2 linked regions of the Kluyveromyces lactis genome follow. The protein of the gene in region 1 purifies or fractionates together with the protein of each later gene. This does not show direct contact. Links are inferred from orthologs where the notes say so. Each region holds a gene or a part of one and is shown on either strand. Other genes may lie near its edges.

The links. Proteins that work in one complex are often made in the same cells at the same time.
Region 2: the proteins of CAF40 (region 1) and CAF130 purify together in Saccharomyces cerevisiae (affinity purification with mass spectrometry; 8 studies listed by BioGRID, with this or other methods). This does not show direct contact. The link is inferred for Kluyveromyces lactis from reciprocal best matches to the Saccharomyces cerevisiae genes CAF40 and CAF130.

Annotation. Positions count from the first base shown.
Region 1 is NC_006041.1:1,171,558-1,174,721, reverse strand, and holds CAF40 (CCR4-NOT core subunit CAF40), read right to left. Parts: upstream 1,767-3,164; coding exon 501-1,766; downstream 1-500. Other genes in the region: SEC21 (coatomer subunit gamma), read right to left, coding at 1-215. UniProt on the Saccharomyces cerevisiae protein: Acts as a component of the CCR4-NOT core complex, which in the nucleus seems to be a general transcription factor, and in the cytoplasm the major mRNA deadenylase involved in mRNA turnover.
Region 2 is NC_006041.1:359,594-363,735, forward strand, and holds the start of CAF130 (CCR4-NOT core subunit CAF130), read right to left. Parts: upstream 2,801-4,142; coding exon 1-2,800. Other genes in the region: SUE1 (Sue1p), read left to right, coding at 3,807-4,142. UniProt on the Saccharomyces cerevisiae protein: Acts as a component of the CCR4-NOT core complex, which in the nucleus seems to be a general transcription factor, and in the cytoplasm the major mRNA deadenylase involved in mRNA turnover.

The DNA of each region.
Region 1 (3,164 bases):
TTCGAAATGGAAAAGAATAAAGCAGTAGCTTCTTGTCTAGGGAAAGTCTCACCATGCGACAATAGTTCCAACAAGCTTGTGATCAGGGTACGGCACAGTTTAGGATTCACAGGAGATTCATTGAACCGATTCAAACAATCCTGATAGATCGCCATTTTGTCTGGCAAGGACCCACTGTGTGGGTCCTCAGACTTCTTATAAGTTTGTGCAGACATGCAATTGGCAGTGCTAGGATACCTTCAAATGACGTACTAACCTTTAGTAGCCAATTTTGAGCCTATTAACCTCGTGTTTTATCCAATTCTTTTTGCCGTGTGGTATGGTATATATTTATATTCATAATGTTTTCAGTTTGCAAATCGGTAGAAGTCCTTTGGAATGAAAAAAAAAGTGAAGCGGGTGTGTGAAAGTGAGGGTAACACTTGTTTTTTAATTATGATATATATGTATATATATATATATATATGGATATGGAGATATATATGATATAGCAGGCAAGATCACTGCTGCTGTTCATCTAGAGTCAGGAGTAGTTGTGCAAGACATCTCTTGGTACCTACATCGTCCTGTAGTGCTTCATTGAAGGTGTTATCTCTTAGTTGTTGCGGCAAAACTTGTTTCAACAATCTTCTGGCTTCTAAATTATCCGATAATCTTAGGTAGCATCTTACAACATGTTTCAATAATCTTCCCGGCACCTGTTGTTGGGACATGTGCTTAAACATAGTTGCCAAAACTTGTGACACCGCGTAGAACCGTTCTGGGGTCGCGCATACGAACTGGAGTCCGTTATCGTCTAATAATATTTTCTGTAAGATGAAGATAGCGACGATCTTCGAAAGTTCTGAAGAGTTTTCCATGATTCTTAAACATAATGGGATAATATCTGTCCTTAGAAGGAAACTGATCACTTCTGCAGAATCGTTTTTCACTAGAGCACCGATGACACCTAGTGAAGTTAGCCTTAAATATTCAAAAGTTCTTTGGTTTGATGTCGTAGATAAGAATGGGAAAAGGAACAACGGGATGTGAGCCTGTAAGAATTGAGGCCTGATATCTGGGTGTGATGCGACACATTGTAAGAGCACCAAAGCGTTGCATACGCGGTTTGATAACTGGTTTGATAATGCAGGAGGTGAAAGAAGCGGATAAATTGAAATTATTTCCTTTAGCAACGACGTCATCACACCGAAACTGGACCACAGCACGATAGCCAAATCCTCATACTGTTCACGTTTCTTACCTAGTTCTAGAAGCGCTTGTTCTTTGCTTGGCCCGTAAGTGAGCTGGCATATCCAATGGTAGACATTTGGATCATCTAGCGCATGTGTTATTCCTGCTGGTGTGGGACCTGGCCCAGGAACTGAACTTGGTCCTGCAGTTGGCCCTTGGCCCATCCCAGGCATCTGACCTGGAAGTTGGTTGTTTTCTACTACTGGGTGGGGCATTCCTTGTTGCAAACCAGGAGGCATATTTTGGGGTTGCTGTTGTTGCTGTTGGCCCTGGGTTTGATTTTGACCCTGAGCCTGCCCTTGAGGCTGGCCTTGACCCTGGCCTTGGTTATTTGGGAAGTAAGGTTTCAATTGTGGGAAATATTTCCTGCGGGTTTGTTCCGAGAACACATTCCCCTGAGCTTGAGCCGCTTGAGCCTGGGGTTGCTGTTGAAACATGGCAGATGATAATTGCGGGTGTTCTACCTGATGCACAAGCTGGATGATGTGTCCTTCCCTGAGACAATGCTGAATATTGCCTATTCTACATACCATATATATACAGAGATGCGAATTATCAACACTTTTAAGTTGAAAAGATGTGCTAAGTTGTGGAAACTGAGGTTGTTATGAAATCCGGGTAATAAGACAACGAAAGTTTAAACACAAAACAAAACACGCCCAGACATTGTTCAATATGACGAAACACTGAATAAAAGAAGAAGCATATTAATTATTAAGTATTAGACAATATATAAAGATGTATATTAAGTTGGTGATAGTAGGAATAATAATAGAGGAGAATGGGGTTAAGATTATAATTTGGAATGTTAGAATTACTTTAATAGTTGATTAAAAATAAAATAAAAAAAGCGGAAGCTTTTTTTGTTTTTATTTTAACTTTAGTTAAACAACTTCTTCAACTTACCCAACCATTTCTTGGAAAAAGATTGAGATTCCTTCTTGACATCTTCAGCTTTGGCTTGAGCTTGTTCTTGAGTTTCCTCAGCCTTAGCTTGAGCTTGTTCTTGAGTCTCTTCAGCTTGTTGTTGAGCTTCTTGAGCAGTTTCCTCAGCATTTTGTTGAACTTCTTCAACCTTATCTTGGATAGCTTCTCTTTGTTCTTCGATCTTGTCAGACATTGTTAACTGTATGTGTTACTTAGTTGTTGTTTCTTGCTGTTTTAAAATATGTCAGACAGAACAATTAAAATTATCCCAAAAACAACCGCCAATGGTATGGGAAAAGGCATCGCATCTTAAACTTTGTTTTCCTCTATTTATATGTGTGAAACTGGGAGTCCGGTATTAGAGCGAGGGCAAGGGATCTCAGGGATCATCCCAGCACCGAGACACGGACATTCACTCGGACATGGAAGTGGTATGACATTACATTACACGGTCCAGAGGGCTAATCCTAAAGTAGCGTAGACGTTTCCTACTTTTAGAACGCGCCCTCCGCTGCTACTGCATTTTAAGTGAATATGCGGTCCAAATTGTTGTTTTTGATTTTCATTTGATTGATGCGTTTATGGGTCTATGGGTGTATCGATGAGCTAGAATTATTTCGGTTCAAAAGACAAAACGGGGGCGGGCGCGGTTCTGTGTCCCAGACATGCTCTAAGACATAGCCCCCTTTGCATTCTGGGTGTCCTGTTGTCGAGTTTTTTCCACAACGTTCCATGGGAAAGGGCAAGCGAAGGGAAGAAAAAAAAATTTTTTTTCTTACTACAATGGGAAGTTGATTTCCCATTGTAAGGTGTGCGGCATTACCCGGGGATTGTCTCGTGTGGAAGACATTCGCCCTCGGACAATTACTGGAAGTGGCAATAACGACGCGGATAGCGGTGTTCCCGGTTGGCGCTATATAACACGCAGCTTTGAGGGTTGTTTACGTCACGTGATGGTGTACCATCACGTGATACTCTTTTTCTTATATTTTGTATGGAACGGA
Region 2 (4,142 bases), about 810 kb from region 1:
AACACACCATCTTTACTTTCCCAGACATCTCAGCCTTACGCGATGTTGCAGAGAAGAACTCCTCACCATAATCATCTACATACACTTTTGAAGGATTTTTAATTGAAAAAGCTTCAAAACCCGCATCATTATACTCACCTAGCAGTCCTGAAGACACACCCACGAAAAATTCTTGTAGCAACATTTTTTTCTCAATTGCAGAAAGTTCAATAACTCCTTGTCTAGAGAATTCAATTGCAGCAACCCTTTCGAATTCTCCAGTGGGTGTCCAGCTAAGAATCCCCAATTGTTTGTTCTTAGTCGATTCTAAATCATAACTCCTGGCAGGATTGCCTCTTAGACCGAATAACAACTCATACACGTAATGGATGGACGAGAAAGTGTACGACCTATGTGTCAAGTGATAGATTAAGAGCCTTCTGTGCCCATGGCTCATCATCAACTCATCGAAGATTTTCCACCCTAAGCTATCATTGCAGCCTGAAAATGGAAAAGGCTTTATAATTCCTCCATCATCATTAAAAATTGCCGTAATAACTTCATCAGTAGAAAAAGGAAGCACTTTCAAATCTACCTCTGCAGAAGTGGCCGTAATTAATTTCAGTAGAATTTGTTCTTGTTCTAGCTTCACACATGTTGCAATACTTCTCAATACCGTACAGGCTTGAGAAAACGTTACGTTTCTATCTGGTAATCGTCTCAACAACTCAAAGAGAGAAACTTTGTCCAACTTAGACAAAAATTGGTAATCATCCATATAATATAGATTTAATCCACGAGGTATATCCCTCCAATCATCACCGTTTTTATCATAACCTGTTGTAAGATGAGAAACGAAATCATTTTGAGAGTCTCTGTGCGTCATTAAAGATGTGAAAGCAACAGCATTGCTACTTTCGCTAAACGTTTGAGGGGTTTCAGCTTCATTGATCTGCCCATTCTCATCCAATCCAACAACGCTTTTTTCACCATTATAGTCATCATCATCGTCATCGTCATCATCGTCATCATTGTCGTCTTCATCACTAAACTTGCAAAGGCAGCGCTTGTAGAGTCCCCTAAGCATTCTGAATCTATTTTTCTGTTCGAGTTCATTTTTAGTAGATGTAAACATAAGCTTACCATCTGTTAGCTTACTTGTATCTGCATCATTGTAATCAAAGTACTCATAATCAAACATATATCTGACATCTTCATCAATTCTATCTCCTTTTTGTATATCAGTCAATAATTCAACAATTTCGTCATAATCCATACCTGATGGTAGGAGTGCTGCGAAATAATACATTTCATATGTGTAAAGAGCCCCGTTGCATAATTTCCTTCCATGAGGAGACATGAACCCACCAAAAGGTTGATGTTTAAAATCGTGCAACTTCTCATCCACATGACCGTTGAGAATCGTTGCGATAATTGAGCGCAACGCAGAAGCTCCACGAATGACTGCACTAACAATTACTGGAGTACCATATAGCATCTGCATTTCCTCAAACCTATCTATTTGCAAACCTAACACTAATGCTGAACTTAAACCTCTCCATGCTCGAAGCATCATAGGTAAGAATGGGTTCAACCTCGGCGGCTTATCAGAGTGCATCTTGTGCATCGAATAGAAAGATAATCCTGCAATCATATAAAGAATTTCCATTTCGGGCGGAGAAAGATCGTATGGGATCCACGATGTCATGTATTTAGGGTATGCATCAGGGCTTCTTGCTTGGATATCTTTCAAATTGTCTAGAGATCTATAATCCCAAATCTGCAACATCTGCAAAATAGCCAATGTAATAGTTTCCAAATTTGCGCTCAAATGAATTTTCCAGACTTTCTGGTAATTGGGTATCAGTTTAACAATATAAGCAGTCAAAGAACCTAGATACAGGTCATGCAATAAATCCAATGAAATTATATGAGAATCGTTTGGAGGAGGTTGAGTCATGGGATCCGCAAATAAGCAAAGTGAGTTAAATTGCTCTGCAAGGAGTGGATGAGGCTCTTTGTGTAACCCAAGCTTAAAAAACAAATTAAATCGATCAGATTTGCCATTCAAGTTTAACGGATTGTGATCATCTTGTTTTGACAACGGTGGATTATTATGCCCAGAATTCTTTCCGTATGATTCTAGTGAATTCAGCCGTATATCGCCAGTTTTCAACTGAGAGAGAGCACGAACCATATCATTACCAAAATTCCCTAGAGTAGATAAAAAAGTAGAATTACGTTCTAAAATTGTAGTTGGAGATTCTGCATGTGATGTGGACTGCGGAGGGGTAAACCATTGGTAAGAACCATTAAATTCATACAATCGGTTGTATTTCATTAGACATTGCAAAAACTGCGAGCCGTCAAGTTTCTTAAGAACACTTTCTATCAAAGGCTTAGCATTATGCAAATAATCTAGTAAAATGTTGGATGTATCCCATAGTGGTGCAGTGAATTTGGGGTCCTGATTCGTGAGAAGAAATCTCATAGCCATTTTAAACGACTGATCTGAATACCTCTCTAAATCGATATGATCCGTTTCATTCCTTAAAACCCACCCTAGAAATAATGACAAAATATGCTTATCAGTTGCCCAAGTACCGAAAAGTGCCACCCAGTAGGGATCGTTCATTCGTATCAGACACTCAACCCCATCAACGTCATTTGTTCGTTTGGCATCATTAATCAATTGTGTGACAACCGCTTGTCCAGGAACCGTGGTAAAAAGAGCAATGACGAGTTTTTCTAACAGTACGCTCTCATCAACATCCGAATCGGCCAAAAATAATCGCTGAACAGAACTCTTTTCCTGTAGCATGGTAAATTGGAATGCGTATGCAAATTACACGGCGCTAGAGAAAAGGGTTTTCTCTATAGTCCAGAAGAGTGAGTCTTAAAACAAAACAAACGACCGATACCAGGGTAAGCAGTAGCAGCTCTTCCGTTCGTTCCTCTTCACTGACTCAGTTAAGTCCAGCTCAATCCTCTAAAAGTACACCCAGCTTCATTTCATTCGATCTCTCATCCCACCTCATCTCATGTTAGAACATAAACTATAATAGTATTATAACATTTGATATCTGTAAATGTGTTTTTCAAAAAAAAAAAAAAGATGGGTTCCTCCAAAAAAGTTCAGTAACGTGATATTCACGTGAATATCACATTCCTTTAAACATTTGTAATACACCCACACACCCGCCCCGAGATACCAATCCTTGATCCGATATCGCCGAGAGCACCAGCTAACACTGCATATACCGTTAGCCGGTTTTTGCATTTCTTTACTTAGTTTTTCAGAATTTGGCTAATCTCAATTCTCACCCATAAACTGAGCTAGAAACACGCGTGGTACCCGAAGGTTTGCCCGCTATTTCCCCCAGAATGTTTGAGTCTTACACAAGAAAAACCAGGGGTGTGTGAAGTCTTATTTAGACACATAGTGACATAGTGTGAAAACGAGTCGGATTGACTCGGTGAGCAACGTATGACATATGCGGTTTCATCATCCTTTGATCTGACATATATAAAATGAGTATATATAGTTCAAGGGTTTAACGCTTGGATTATCGTCTCGAAATTGATTACTTAGTTGCTTTAAGTATTTAAGTATGTGAAATTACGTGATTTTCCTAAAGCTCGGTGGATTAATATTTTCAGAGGAAACAGGGGATTAAATCGTTTATCGGAAATATCGTGTTTTCTTGTCAGACTATTTAAAAGCAAGGTCTGATAACGTACTGTCGGACAAATAAGAATCTAAACAGGTTTTACTATCTAGTTGAAAGCATCAAAGCATCGAAAAAGTATAATACAACCATAGGAAAATGCCATTTCCAAAGTCCAAAGCCACACAAATGTATAGACAGCTTCCTCGCGTGCCAACGACAAGGTTTCTTGCGCCACAAGAACTCACGGCTGACATTTTGTTCAGCGGATACAGGCCTATTGTGTCTCCGCTGAGGGATAACCCGCTATTCCAAGCGAAAGTGAAGGAACTAGAAGTGGAAAGGGAGAAGAATGGGGGAGGTAAACTAAAGTCTAAGGCAGCTTTCGCATCCGAACCAGAACATCCATTCATGGCCGGTCCCAACGGGACCGGAGGGATCTTATCTGGGGGCGTGAACGGGACGTGGCGTTATAATCCACGGATACCAAACAAG